Oreochromis niloticus: one gene and its partner. The protein of the gene in region 1 purifies or fractionates together with the protein of each later gene. This does not show direct contact. Links are inferred from orthologs where the notes say so. Each region holds a gene or a part of one and is shown on either strand. Other genes may lie near its edges.

The links.
Region 2: the proteins of pabpc4 (region 1) and mkrn1 purify together in Homo sapiens (affinity purification with mass spectrometry; 3 studies listed by BioGRID and IntAct, with this or other methods). This does not show direct contact. The link is inferred for Oreochromis niloticus from reciprocal best matches to the Homo sapiens genes PABPC4 and MKRN1.

The regions. Positions count from the first base shown.
Region 1 is NC_031983.2:27,564,425-27,572,456, reverse strand, and holds the start of pabpc4 (polyadenylate-binding protein 4), read right to left. Parts: upstream 3,022-8,032; 5' UTR 2,600-3,021; coding exon 2,407-2,599; intron 166-2,406; coding exon 1-165. Other genes in the region: zpcx (zona pellucida protein C), read right to left, coding at 3,540-3,561, 3,657-4,521, 4,606-4,682, 4,754-4,839, 4,908-5,013, 5,098-5,269, 5,342-5,415, 5,484-5,596 and 1 more.
Region 2 is NC_031981.2:931,490-939,369, reverse strand, and holds the start of mkrn1 (putative E3 ubiquitin-protein ligase makorin-1), read left to right. Parts: upstream 1-4,826; 5' UTR 4,827-4,979; coding exon 4,980-5,053; intron 5,054-5,676; coding exon 5,677-5,808; intron 5,809-7,880. UniProt on the Homo sapiens protein: E3 ubiquitin ligase catalyzing the covalent attachment of ubiquitin moieties onto substrate proteins. These substrates include FILIP1, p53/TP53, CDKN1A and TERT.

The sequences.
Region 1 (8,032 bases):
AGAAGGTGTCATACAGGGCTTTGTTGTCAATGGACTTGTCGAGGTTCTTGATAAAAACATTGCCCACACCCGACTTCCTGAGGGAGGGATCTCTTTGGGACCACATGATTCTGATCGGCTTTCCTTTCACCACATCAAAATTCATGGTGTCCAGAGCTCTTTCAGCTGCCGGAGGAAGAGCAGAGAGGTCACAGGAAAGGTCCCTGGTGGTTATTTACACATCAGTCATGCTTCGGTCTGTTATCTGCTGATACCATGCAACAATAATAGCGCAGCCATTTTTAACACGTGCACTATAATAATAAAAGAGAAAAACAGTTTAAATGCTTTAAAACAGGCCGTTAACATGTCCAAAGGGGTGAAGGTACTGCAGCAGACAATGAGGCTGATGAGCTTTCTGCAAGCAGCTGGGAAAAGTGTGGGGGGCAGCTGCAGTGGGCTAGCTTGGAGCACATGTCTCCCTGTTCTGATTAACCACATGCTGCTGAGCCACATGCCACTTAGCAATGCAGCAGGCCTTCATTTAAACACTATCAGAATATCAGCTCATGTGGTTGAGATGAGCAGTATTATGTTTGCATTGACCTTTATTCTGTGATCTGTAGGCCCAGGCAAATGCACACTTTCCCCCCCTCACACATCATGTGGGCACATGCCAAACATCCTTTTGTTCACACACACACACACACGCACACACACGCACGCACACACACACGGCTTTCCAGCTGAAAGTGTCTGGTAAACAAAGCGGAGCTGCCTTGCGTCTGCTGGCATCAGCAGTTTGGTTTGCAATTGTACTTCACAACCTGTGCGCTCAGGGAAGGTGTGCGGTCACTGTCAAAAAACGGGGACTTCGGGAAGGTTCAGAGTTGGAAACTTTATTCAAAAAAGGCCAAAGTGACCTCTGTTGTGCCCTCATATATCAAATGTGTCGTTTAGAAGAGAAAATAGAGCCATCAATGGTCTTGAATTACCCATTATTGTTAACCACTTTTTATTTAAGCATTACGGAGCAGGCACGTTTTGGGCTGCACAGGGGGAAGCTATATTTAGAGAGGGGCCCTGAGAGGTATGTGCTGGCATGGAGTATGAGTAGAGCATTCTCTACCACTGATGGGGAAGAGACAAGTTTAAAAAGAATGCTCAGAAGAGCGACACCCGGGTTTGTGTTTGTTTACAGATACAACTGTGACATTAAGAAATCCAGCAGGGAGCACAGCGAAGCATGAAGACCGCTCTGTTTCATATGAAACACTCTTTACTAACAACTGCTTTGTTATAGGTTTGCATTAGTAGCTGTATTGTTCAGGCACAAAGCTACTGCCCCACAGACACGTGCTCAGGACTCCATTTAAATGTCCAACAGCCAACACCCCCTCCCCCCTGGTGTCTACACTCTTGTAACAAATGGTGTCTTCTAACTTTTGGCTCTTCTCACGTTTGTAACGGAATGATATCCTGGAAGCGAGCCACTTGTAACCTCTCCTTTACTTTGGCTTTTGGTAACTGACTCGAGCGCAGATAAGCTGTGACAGGTGTTTTTTGTTGATAGGACAAACAGTGTCAGCGGGCCCCAAAGAGAACCACAACACCTGCTACCTTTGCTCAGTGCTTTGATACTCCTGCATTGTAACTGGAAACAGTTTTATCACATAAGGTACTTAACAACATTGCTGATACGGTTACATATACGTTCACTTTTGTGTATCATGACAGATTAACAGCTTTAAGTGGTGAGGATATAACACATAACCCAACAGTGTGAGTGAACTAATCCAGCTATTAAAGCTGGGATTAAATTCAAATAGAAACAGGATCAGATTTTTCCATTTGAATCTGCAGTGAATTTACACACAACCAGCAGCACAAACAAGCAACAAGCAGTGCAGCGGGCTCAGCTGTGCTTGTCTCTTTCATGCCTTCAGTGAACATGCCAGCAGAGGGCAATGGGAGTTAGTTTCACTCAACTCATTGGCCCTTTAAATAGGCACAGAAATGGGTCATTTTGGTTTTTAAAAAGGTGTAGGAAAAGACTTCATATACCCAAATCTAGGCCTGTGATTTATGGGGATGGTTTGTTGATTTTGGCCAACTTTTAAGGACAGTTTAAACTCTGCATGTTCTGGGGGCTTGAATTACATTAGAGACACACACAGGCTGCTATATTACCAACCATACTCCAGAACTGGGACGTGCTTATGTAGGTCAAATAACTGATCCAATCTAAAGAACTGCTATGAACAATTCAGACTGCAAAATTAACATTAACCAAATTTATTTGCGTTCATTTCGGGCTCTGTAAACGGTTTCAACAGCAGACTGGAAACGCATTACTACTATGTCAACATTTTCACGCCTTGTGGAGGCAACGTGCTCACACAGCACAGCTATCCCATCCCTGCTTACCGTCAGCCGGCTGTGAGAAGTTCACATAAGCGTATCCCAGGGACCGCCGGGTGATCATGTCTCGGCAGACCCGAATGGAGAGCACCGGTCCGGCTGGGCTGAATTTCTCGTACAGCATAGCCTCCGTGATGTCGGGGTGCAGGTCGCCAACGTAGAGAGAAGCCATCGGATAACTCCCCGTCGCTGTGTTCATATCGCTGATTTCAGAGGATAAACGCAAGGCTTCGTTTTAAAAACGCTAGAAAAATGTCGGTATGGTCTGTAATCCGGATCCAAACTGCGCTTTGGTTTAAAGACGCTGCACAGACAGCTGATCGGGCGTTTTGAAAATGCCAAACCTGGAAAAAGCAGCGCGATAAAGACCGGTGTCTTCTGAAGTGTTTCCTTTAAAAAAGACGACAACTTCGAGTTAAGCCGGAGGCCTGATGTTTATGTTTTTTTAAAATAATATTTTGCTATTTTTTTAAAAGGTTTCTATTTCTTTAAGTAGATCTGCACTTTTTAAGATTTTGTGGATTTTATATTTTTTATATTATTTTTATTTTAAGTTTTTCAGGAACAGTGAGTTGGGCACTCACGGTTGTTTTGTGGCCGGGGAAAGAGACTGCGGGGGGGAAGCATGGGCACTTTATAGAGAGTGACGGTGCGGAGGAAATAGTGGCCAGGGTCAAACTTGGGGTAGAAAAAACACTGAGCATGCGGCGTAAAAGGGAGAGCGCACATGGTACTGTCCCAACTACAGCGCCCAGCTCCCTACAGCGACATCTGGGTGGGAATACAAGCCTTTCACTGTAGCCAGGATGGAGCGTTTTATAAACAGGCTTTAAAAATAAATAAATAAATGTGATGCGCTAATGAGCACCGGTGGCGAAATGTTGTGAATGAGTATGTCTGCCTTATTTAGTCGGCAGTGTCATTTAAAAAAAAAAAAGAGAAAAAGAAAAAAGGATGCGACTTGTATTTCAGGCTTTCGCTGCTATGACGCCAGGTCTCTCTTGGAAATGAGATTTTTACCTGGATAAATAAAGGACTAATAAAAATATAACTTTTATTTAAAAAAGCAAAAGTAATGAGATCAGATTAGTGTACATCAGTTTTATTTATCTCAAGTACAAGTTTAAAGTAAGCCGTGGTTATTCTGCATTCTTCATCCTCCTGAGGAAAAAAAAAAAAAAAAAAGAAGACAATTAAATCAGCCATCTTCACATGCATTAAACAGTCTGCCGGCTAACTGCAAACAAGTCATTTACCACAACAAATTCAAGAAAGTTGATTGCAGCCCCTTTAGTTTCAACTGTTTTCTTTCCACTGGACTTTTCTTCTGCACCACTGCCTCTTCCTCATAACTCAGCGTCTGCAACCCATCAGCAGCTTTGGAAAAGGTGAGTTTGGAGCGTGTTATTGGTGGGATTTCATGTGTTCCTTCAGGCATCACAGCACCATCGGTCAGCATCTGGGGCAGGTCATCACGGTTTGGGTGCTTAATCTCATTCTGCAGCCATTTTTCACTTTGGGATTCCTCTACGGCAGCTGTCTTGTCCAATTCTGCTGGATTTGGCCCTTTAATCAGCATAAGGTACTTTACACTAATCTCAGCTGGCAGAGAAAAGTCAACCGGTTCCTCTTTGCTGTCAAAGTTCCCAGATCTTCCAGACCGGCTTTTTCTTTTCAAGTCCTCTGGAATTGCTGGTTGTGGAGGAATCTTCCACCTGTTAACCATAATTGGCAAATTCATAGTTGATGGAGAAAGACTACTGAAACTTTGACCTTTGATCTCATTGGTTGGATTCAGATGAGGTTCATGATCTGTGGTTGAAGAACGCAGTGTGGGAGTGTCATTCGAGTCAGACTGAGGAGGCACCTGTTCAGGTAGCCAAAGCGTCAGCCTGGTGGCAGGGTCCTGACTCACAACCACTACACCCTCTGGGCCAGCATTGAATTTGCTTCTTGGAATAGAAGCAGCAGAAACTATCACATCAGCAGGATCTGGAAGAGCAGACTGCATGGAGTTTGGGATGTTAGCAGTTTCTTGTTCGGAGACTGAAGGCAGAGGAGTTCTCTCACCATCTTCATCGACAATGACAAAGGGACCAGTGCTGACCATAGCTTTGGCATCTGAAACGACATGCATGCAGCAAGTCAGTTCTAAAGTTTATTTCTGTCTTCCATCACCTTCAGACAGAAAACCAAAACACTCACCACCAGGACGGTTTTTGCCTTTACACCTTGAGCTACAGCACTCACATGCCTCCAAATCACCACTTAGTTCCTCCCATCTGAAAGGAAAGTTTCATTTATAGGACATTTGAAAAAGAAAGAAACAAATACATTATGTGAATATTGATACCTTGATTCAATCACATTGTAGTTGCAGGATTTAGAGCCAGGGGTGACACCTTGGCCTGAGATCAGCACGCTACAGTGGATATACAACTTGTAGAGAAGAGTACACAAGTCAGTTCAGAGCTGCACATCAGTGAAATCAGTTTCGAGAGACTTACCTCAGAAATGAGATAAGACGTGTTCAGAACAAAATTAACCGCATCTGCTGTGTTGGAGGCTACAAACGTCACTATAGTAGTGGAGGAACCCAGTGGGGTTACGCACCTGCAGAAAGCAGTGATATCACAGGCGATTAGAAGGTTAGACATAACAAAAACAGTTGAGGTAAACCCCCAACTGAAAACTTACCCTTTGTTAAATATGACTCTTTGCCTTGGTTTGGCCCGAGGCTCAGGGAACACAGAGACAAAGCAGGACTTGATGAAAACCTGTTGATTTGTTCCGGTTTTAGCCAAAACCTGAAGATTGACAGCCTGGCCTCTTTTGTAGACATTTGACTGTGCTGCGCTCGTCCAGGACGCTGCAGGAAAGAACTGCGTTTACAAATTAAGCTGCAGCTAAAACATGACGTTGGATGAGTTTTATTACTTACGACTCATGGCTTTGATGCTAATGTCATCATTTTCAGGAAGCGTTGTGTCGCTAAACTTTGGCATATTTTTCAACCTGTAAATACATGGACCTACTGTAAGTAGGGTTGGTGACTAGCTGCAGACATTGAAGTAACAGCACACCTTTTTGCAACACAGAACACGTGGACTGCAGAGGGAGTTTTCCACCAGGTGGGAGAAATTCTTCTTAGATTCAAGAACAGGGTGTTGGTGAACACCTCCAAGTCGTCCTCCACCTGTAAGATGGTGCAGTTTTGGTAAAGGCTTCATAAAAAGATGCAGAACTGCAACAGAACTTTATTCTCACCATAGGTGCAGTTCCACATTCATCAAAACCATAAGTGAAGACAAATTCATTTGCAAGCTCTCCATTGCTGAAGCAGCCATTGCCCAGCTGTATTTCCTCTCCAGTCAGTTTGAGACCACCGACACTCTTATCAACCAGCACGGTTAGTGTCGATGCATCACAATACACCTGTACTCTGGGAACATTGAGGAAGGGAGAGAGTCCAGCTAGCCTGTGAAAGTCAGGGCTCCAGGATCGCCAGGAGCTGAAGATTGTGTCTTGCGGAGTAAAATCAAAGTTTCTTCCAAATGAAAAAGGCACTCGATTTTCATAAACTCCCACAAAATCCTGGGTGAATCTGCCATTGTGATACAGAACAGACTGAACAGCAATAAAACAACTAAGAAGCACACAAAGAGATATCTGCATGGTCCCCATCATGAGCCCCAAACTGGACCAACAATTCAGATCATTCTCCTGTGACAAGTGCGTTATTAATAAGGTGCAGCGATAGTGGAGACAGGTGCTGGCAATCAAGCCAATGAAGCTGACTCAAAATGATTCTGTATTCAATGTTAACACCACGGCAGCTGGATGGGACGCATCTAAGATGCTGTTAGTGAAAAATGCAAAATAAAATGAAGCAAAATGTGTATTTTGTTCACATTTGTGGTTGTTCAGAACTTGGTTTTAGAAATCACTCCACTGAAGGCCCAACCAGCTGCTGTTTAAACCTGTTCTTGAGAGCTATTCCATAAAGGCATAAAGACAGGGTGGCTTTATATGGAGACGAGCTAAAAACAGCTTGTTTCAGACAGAGGGACACTGAAGAGCTGCACCAAGATAAGATAACCTTTATTAGTCCCACACATGGGAAATTTGTTAGGGCCCCAGTTTACCAAGGCCCAGTTTAAGATAAATCAGGATTATATGGAACTGTAAATTATGAAAAACTGTTTTAGTAGACTCCAAACACAAAAAATATGGTGCTGGATATAAGAATTATGCCTGTTTGTAAGGTGTTTGTGGGCTTGGTGACAACATGAAAACTTGAAGGTTAAGTTTTCTGGCAGGCCATTCCTCGGCTACAATCTGAACAAACCAAAAGCTGTGAAAACTTGGATAGTTTGGGTTAATCTAATTTCTACAAGTAGACAAAATAACACCAAAAAACTTGCATTTATGTTATAGTATTTTCTTAGGCAACAATCTTCAAAATTATATATTTCTATTAAGTAGATGAAAGACATGTAATTTAACTCTGGCTCTTCTTCTATGTTGAGCAAACCTTGAGATTTAAGTTTTAAGATTACATGTGTTAGATGTGTGTAGTCACACATGGCAGAAAACAAAATCACACTATAATTCTGGAATACTTTCAGGGAATGAAAGGAGCTGAAGGATAGCACAAAAGAGGAAATTGGTTATAAATGATTAAAGAAAGACATAAACAGGAGCACACCACCTTCTGCCTCATCTAGGTGGAGCCATTGTCAAAAAGCTGACTAAAGGAGACTTGGGTGCATGATGCTTGCACCTAAAGGCCAGGCAAGTCATGCATGGCAGGCGCGTAACCCAGATTAACTGAGAACTCATGAGATGGCTGTCAGATAAGGACGTTGTTTGTTACAAGGTAAAAATAATTGCTTGCTATTTTGAATTTAGGGCACTGAATGTGGTTTTTAATTTGAGATTTCTAAATCTCAAATTTAGAAATGTGACTAATTCCCCACTGATGCTGGTTGTGAACAGACGAGTGTCTGCTTTTTGTTTTAACAGCCGATTAATCGATTAAGACCCACTGAATACAGAGCATTTGCCCAACACTTTGTTCTTTTATTTGACACTGGTATTGTTGTGATTGTGCAAAGTAAGGAAATTTTGACATTTGTAACATAGGTCTCTCCCCAGCAATATAAGGCTCGAGCAGGCAAATGCAGTACTGTGCAAAAATCTTGAGCCTCCCTCATTTCTTTACATTTAGCTTCCAAAGAGACATTTTTTTCCACTGGGTTTTCTGGAGGTCTTTCAAAGGTTTTCTTTGAACATTGGCTGCGTTTTCACTCATTTTCAGTCCCGTCCTTGTACCTGACAATTTTTGGAAGAGTGTTTGGTTGTTTTTGTTTTGTGTTTTACATTTGTTAAGACACTTAACACTGACATATGAGTCACTTAATCATTAAAAAGGGATTTAACTCATAGGAACCAGTTTTTTGTCTACACATAACAGACACGTTAGAACAAAAAAACAAAAACAAATTTAAATTGTAACTTTCGGCTCTTTGTCTTAAAGAATTTTACAGATTGTTCCCATTTCTTTAGTAGAATCTCCGTCAGAGATAAAATATATTCACAGGCATGAAATATTACTTTTGCGCAAAGGGAT
Region 2 (7,880 bases), on another chromosome or scaffold:
GACAGGCCCCTCGGACCCTCCAGCGGAGACGGACGAAGGCTGGACAGGCCCCTCGGACCCTCCAGCGAAGACGAATGTTGGCTGGACAGGCCCCTTGGACCCCTCTAGCGGAGACGAATGAAGGCTGGACAGGCCCCTCGGACCCTCCAGCTGAAACAGAATGCTGAAGCGGTCCTCCGGACCCTCCAGCGAAGACGAATGATGGCTGGACAGGCCCCTTGGACCCTCCAGCGGAGACGGAAGGCTGAAGCGGTCCCTCGGACCCTCCAGCGACGACGGAATGCTGAAGCGGTCCCTCGGACCCTCCAGCGACGACGGAATGCTGAAGCGGTCCCTCGGACCCTCCAGCGATGACGGAATGCTGAAGCGATCCCTCGGACCCTCCAGCGGAGACGAATGAAGGCTGGACAGGCCCCTTGGACCCTCCAGCGGAGACGAATGAATGCTGGACAGGCCCCTTGGACCCTCCAGCGGAGACGAATGCTGAAGCGGTCCCTCGGGACCCTCCAGCGAAGGCAGACAAATGCTGAAGCGGTCCCTCGGATCCTCCAGCGGAGACGGACGAAGGCTGGACAGGCCCTTGGACCCTCCAGCGAAGACGGAATGCTGAAGCGGTCCTCCGGACCCTCCAGCTGAAACGAATGAAGGCTGAAGCGGTCCCTCGGACCCTCCAGCGGAAACGGATGAAGGCTGAAGCGGTCCCTCGGACCCTCCAGCGGAGACGGATGAAGGCTGGACAGGCCCCTTGGACCCTCCAGCGAAGACGGAATGCTGAAGCGGTCCTCCGGACCCTCCAGTGGAGACGGAAGGCTGAAGCGGTCCCTCGGACCCTCCAGCGAAGACGAATGTTGGCTGGACAGGCCCCTTGGACCCCTCCAGCGAAGACGGACGAATGCTGAAGCGGTCCCTCGGACCCTCCAGCGGAGACGGACGAAGGCTGGACAGGCCCCTCGGACCCTCCAGCGAAGACGAATGTTGGCTGGACAGGCCCCTTGGACCCCTCCAGCGGAGACGAATGAAGGCTGGACAGGCCCCTCGGACCCTCCAGTGGAGACGAATGAAGGCTGGACAGGTCCCTTGGACCCTCCAGCGAAGACGAATGGCTGAAGCGGCCCTCGGACCCTCCAGTGAAGACGGAATGCTGAAGCGGTCCCTCGGACCCTCCAGCGAAGCCTGACGAATGTATCCCGGACGAGCCCCCACATTGTTACGTTCCCCCCGAAGGGGTCTAGGCGTGCGAGTGAGGGGACCAGTAACAAATGAGTCCAGAACAGAATGAAAGGACAACAGACAGGTGCTTTTAGTAAATAAAATAGTCTTTATTATAAATAATCTTAACATAAAGAGCCGGCAACGCCGTTTGACCAATAACACTTAGAAAAAGGAAAAGGTTGCAACAACAAAGAACACAACCAAACACAAACTCCACACCACGAGGAGGCACTTCCAGGGGCCCACAAGCTCACCCTGTCACTAGCAGCGGCTAGCTTTACTGCTGCCGAGGCCCACAAGCTTTCCCCCCACTGACATAAAGACAAGAAAGCTCCTTACCATGCATGGAGGGTTTCACCCCAAGTCCAGCACCCTGAGGCTGTACGCTAAGCGGAAGGAAGGGGGCCGGGGACTGGTGAGTGTCAGCACCACAGTCCAGGATGAGACAAGAAACATCCACGAATACATCACGAAGATGGCCCCAACTGACAGCGTGCTCAGTGAATACCTCAGGCAGCAGAAACCCAAGAAAGAGGAGGAAGGCGAGGAACCATCATGGAAGGACAGGCCCCTGCACGGTATGTACCACCGGCAGATAGAGGAGGTGGCTGATATCCAGAAATCCTACCAGTGGCTGGACAAAGCTGGACTGAAAGACAGCACAGAGGCACTAATCATGGCAGCACAAGAACAAGCTCTGAGCACAAGATCCATAGAGGCTGGGGTCTATCACACCAGGCAAGACCCCAGGTGCAGGCTATGTAAAGATCCCCCTGAGACAATCCAGCACATAACAGCAGGGTGCAAGATGCTAGCAGGCAAGGCATACATGGAACGCCATAACCAAGTGGCCGGCATAGTGTACAGGAACATCTGTGCCGAGTATAACCTGGAAGTCCCGAGGTCAAAATGGGAGATGCCCCCAAGGGTGATGGAGAATGACCGAGCTAAGATCCTGTGGGACTTCCAGATGCAGACGGACAAAATGGTGGTGGCTAACCAACCGGACATAGTGGTGGTAGACAAACAGAAGAAGACGGCTGTAGTGATCGATGTAGCGGTTCCGAATGACAGCAATATCAGGAAGAAGGAACACGAGAAGCTGGAGAAATACCAAGGGCTCAGAGAAGAGCTCGAGAGGATGTGGAGGGTGAAGGTAACGGTGGTCCCCGTGGTAATCGGAGCACTAGGTGCGGTGGCTCCCAAGCTAGGCGAGTGGCTCCAGCAGATCTCGGGAACAACATCGGAGATCTCTGTCCAGAAGAGCACAGTCCTGGGAACAGCTAAGATACTGCGCAGGACCCTCAAGCTCCCAGGCCTCTGGTAGAGGACCCGAGCTTGAAGGATAAACCGCCCGCAGGGGCGTGCTGGGTGTTTATATATATATATATATATATATATATATATATGTATATATATATATATATATATATATATATATATATATATATATATATATATATATTTAATGGTTTATACCTTGTGTTGGGGGGGGGTGTTGTGTGTTTCTGTCTTGTTTTTATGGACATGAAGTCTGCCAATAAAGATTGAATTGAATTGAATTGAAATTTTGCATTTACGTGAGCAGTATTTTAGTCCTGCGTATCACCTCCACGTATCAAATGTCTCGAGGTAAAGACTGTTTTGAATTGACTCTATAAAAATAAACTGAGCCAAATCCTTAATTTGCCCTATAAAGTGGTTTGTAGCCAAATGCATGCAGACTCATGCTGTTCCCATCAGCCTCAGCTGTATTTTGTGTTTTCTACATTATCAAATCTTCTCAAACAACCAAAAATGTTGATGATTGTATTAGCAGTATGGACATTTCAAAGATTTCTATTTTTGTGATTGTTATGATTATTTTAGTCCAGATTTTTCTAGTTGGAGAAAAGGAAACTCTCTTCTTCGGTAATGTTGTTTACACTGACACATTATGGTTGGGTTTAGTTTTCCTCTTATGGCGGTCTCACCTCACGGCCCCATAGAAACTCTGCTATTTGTAGTTTGTGGCTGAGAGCTTAATTGTTCAGGCACAACTTCCCACTGACAGTCAATGACAGTGAATACATCCTGTTGGTCTACAGAGGGAACTGTGTGGGCAAATGAATCTGATACGCAGTTTTAAGGCTGTAACCTGATGCTAGCTGTTGTGTTTGTGCAGCGACCTGCAGAGGTTTGGTGTTGAACATAAACTGTCTCTGTTCATTGGATGGATAAAAGGCTGAAACAAATATATTGTATATATAAATATATATATTTTTCTCTACAGCGACAGAAGTGTAATTATCAGAAACACTGCATAATAACACAACTAAAAATGCCACTTGTCTTAGCCTTGCAACCTTAAAAAAAATTACCCGGAAACTTACAAACAGCACATTAATGGTAACCGAACACTTTTACAACACTTTTTTCTCTAATTCCAAGAAAGTGGAAGTAGAGAAAGGGGAAATGAAGAATAAAGTTTGACAGGGTAAGAATGAATGAATCTGATTCTTGTAACCGGGTGATGCTTTACCACTTACTCTGTTCATTGTGTTAGATTTCTTTGTTTAATGGTATAAATATATTGGTAATAAACACATTACCAACTCATGACGCTAAAAAGAACCTAACATAGTCAGTGGTAAAGACTTTGATTTTTATCTTGTTGCTTAGGCTGTGGGCGGCCAACCTGGCAGGGCTGGGTGGGACACGGGCATCAGGTGGGCAAGCTGGGGAGGAAGTGACTAAAGCTTTAAAATGAAGTTGTCTCAAGACATTCTGCCATGACCATGACAACTTAAAGAAATCTAAACTTGTGTTCTTCAGCTTTTTTGTTTTCAGTGAAGCTAATTGTGACCAAAACATGTGAGCATTTTGATCATGAAAGCTTGAACGGTGACAAAGGTGATTTCTATTGTAGAAGGAATGCCACGGGCGTGTTCAGCTGTGAGATCTGCTGTGGATAATGGACCATGACCCTCCCACCAGTCCACACATGTGGAACAGAATGAATCACACCTCAGTGCACCCTGTCACTTTATACACCACAACATATATTTGTCCTTTTATATTTATATTCATACCTATATCAATATCTCTGTTTCTACGCTCATTTTATGTGAGTGCTTGATGTTTCTTGTGTATTTCCTGCAATGACAACTAAATTTCCCTCTGGGACTAAGAAGGTTTCGCTGATTCTTCGTCTTTATATTGCTTATTGGCGGTTGGCAAACAGCAAAATGGTGCATTAGCGCCACCAACTGATGTGGAGTGTCGATTCTGGTATCTGCCAAAGGGGGCTACTTTGATGAGTCAAAAGTTTAGAAGATATTTTGGTTCATAAATTGATTTCATGATTTATTTTTTAACTCCAGTTGCGTATTTGTACCATGCTTTCATTTCAGAGGAAAATGAGACATTAAACTGCATAATTTTCAATAAAAAAAAACTTGGGGTGTTCTAAAACGTTTGTGTTGTTAAATTGAATGATATCAGACAGACACAAATATTTGATGGAACCTTCCGAGCCTGGTTCTTCTTCATGATTAATAGAAATGATGCTTGCTTCAACTGATCCTGATTATTTAGAAGGTTGCACATCTAACCCACTGCGGGTCTGCTCCTCACAGTGTGTGCCAACGGTGCCGCGTAGTGGACAGCGGTCTGCACGGAGACGGGTTTTCGGTAAACTTCGACTTAAATTGTCCACAAACGAAAGATGCCGAGCTCGAGCGAAACTGTCCGGAACATCCGGCTGTAGCTTCTCAACATAAACAGCAATGGCGGAGGCAGCAGCAGCGTCAACGGCGGCTTCAGCAGTAACAGGCGGTTGGACAAAACACGTAACCTGCAGGTAGGACAAGACAATAGAACTAGCACATTTAGACGGCGATGGCACACCGTGTCGTTTGACGCCAGAATAACGCTGCCAGGGCAGCTTGTGAGTGACTGACGGGAATGTCTTTCAAGGGTCCGCTCAGCTGTTCGCGGAGCTAGCTGTGATGTTGTCATGTTCGCTGTGTTGTGGTCACACAGCAGCCTGGTGTGCTAGTTTAGCCGCCGTCCTGCTAGCTACGCTTTCAACAATCAGATCGGCAACGCTGAACTGTAAAGCTAGTGTCACACAGCGGCCCCTCGACGAAAGCTTTGAAGCTAATCTCAGCTAGCAGTTCTCAGTAGTTTCACATTAAAACCAACAAATTAATCGGCGTTTAAACCAGCGGCTTTAACTAGTTGTTGCCTTTCGGTGTCATATCATCTGCTAGGTTCACATCCGGACCAAGCTAGCGCCGCGGTCCCTTAAACATGACCGCGATGGCGTTATGAGTATGAAAGTAAAAGATGACATCGACACGCATTTGATTTGCTTACATCCAAGTGACTGGCAGGCTGCTTTTTAACGTTGATACTGGGATCTAAAAGGAAACGCGCTGTTTAATGTGTTAAGTAAACTTTGATTTTCTTTTGTTTTTCCAGATATTTCATGCACGGTCTGTGCAAAGAAGGGGAGAACTGTCGATATTCCCATGACCTGACCAGCAGTAAACCTGCCAGCATGATTTGCAAATTCTTTCAGAAGGGAAACTGCGCGTTTGGGGACCGTTGCAGGTAAAGACTGAACTGACACCAGAACGGGAATGTGCACCTGAGCGAAACTGAGCTTGCATGTTCGTGGTGCGATGCAGCAGCCCTGTAACGTGTTTTCAGCTGAGAGCTGAGCTGCTTTCTAAAAGTGGCAGCATAGCAGGTTTGCTAGCAGGGCTTCTCAGAAGTGTTCCCCTCAAGTAGATGTGACACCTGAGACTGCGCCTTAATGTCACCATGTTGTTGGTCTGTGTGTGTGGCAGCTTTATGTGGGGTCAGGGGTCACAATCACACATGAGGACCTGCTGTTTTGCTCTACTGGATGAACTCTTGTATTTAAAATGAGTGCCTGGGTCGTGCTGTGCATTTTACACACATGGCTACACACAGTGTGACTCTGTCTTCAGAGGCCGAGATTAGTAGGATGACAGTTTTAGAACATGCATTGACAAATTTAATTAAAATCTGACAGAGTATGACTTGTAAGTAGCTTATTTTGTAGAAGGACTTGTGGCAATTCTAAGGGTGTTTTAATTTAAATGTTAGCGAATATTTTTTTATTTATATATAAGTACACACAAGCATTAGATTATTTATATTGACCAAAAGAAGATGGTGAATTTTCCGCAGGGTTCTGATTGCTTTAGATTGAACAAGTTATTATTTATTCTTACTGTTGCAGAAAGAATGAAAGAGATGAGCAGCTCTTCATTGGTTCAGCAGCGAAATATAAACAAAATATACAACAATATACAAATGTTTCTTGGCACTTTACTTCTATTCTTCTCAATTTTAATGAAAATACAGTTGTACAGACCAAAACCTTTGTTAACAAGGTGAAGATTGTTTCAACCCTGCGTTGTTTTAGCACACAGCATGTTTGTATTATATTAGTAAACAACAACATGCATACATACTAACGAGGCTCAAACATGCAGAGGTCTTTTTGAAAAGTGGATTAGGCTCCCAGTCAAGTCCTCAGACAATCAGCAGAGACAGTGTTTGCTCCAGTTAGATCCTCTTCGCTGGTGAGTCAGTCTGAGGACCCCAGCAGCAGCAGGGACTCAGTGGTTTCACACACACTCGCATCTTTCTTTAATAGCATGTTTGCCTTTATGAAGCCTTCACTTTGCTATGTAGTACTGAGTTACTGTTGTGTGTGGTGTTGTTGTTAAGTCACGTTCCTCCCTACCTGTGATTGAGCTGCACCATGGACGTGCTCTCGTTATTTTGGAGGCTCCACAGGCCTTTGCACCCTGCATTGAAAGTCCAGAGAAAGACTCTCGCTGTGGGGGTTTATTAAGGTTGAATTCCCTGGGCTCTATCTATTGTGATGCACTCCGTTTTGTTCTTTCACTGTGTCTGTCTCTCTGCTGCTTTCTCTTCTGCGGCCCCCAGGGCCAGACAGGGTGCACTGCAGCCTGCATGGCAATTGCATAATGCTCCATCTCTGTGTGTCTGTTTCTCTCTGTTGCTGGGTTCCCCAGGTTCACTGTGCTGCAGCTCCCTCCTCTCATTTCTTTATGCATTGCCTCAGCACAGTGCCCTCCCCTCCCCACTTATTCAACACTCCACAGTCTAGGAATAGTCTGCTTGTGCTCTGAGCTAGCCTTAACATAAAGGAGAGAAAAAACAAGCAAGGGGAGAAAAAGATGCATAAAATAACAAAGCAGGAAATGTGCTGGTAATTAAGATTTACTCAGTAAATGGTTAAGAAAATGACAAAAGAAAGCACCAGAAAAGCAGGATGATGCCATATTGAGCCCACATTGAGTCAAGGTGCATGATTTGTACCTGATGCATGCACACCTAGTTGTTCAGAGATAGCACAGGTAGGACTGAGTTTATGCAATTTTGAACACAGGTAAAAGGAGAGCCACAGGGACGTTTAATTCTAACAAATTATGAAATGGAAAGTGTGTGTAAGGTTTAGAAATGGCCTGCTTTCATTCAAAGTCATGTTTACCTTGTGATCTCTGTCCCAGTTATGATAGGGCAATAATTTAATTAAGAGTTTTAGATCTCGCTGTAGAAGTCACATTCTGCACTTTTACTTCTTGCTCTTGCAAAGGCTAGATGGTGTTACAGGGAGGCAA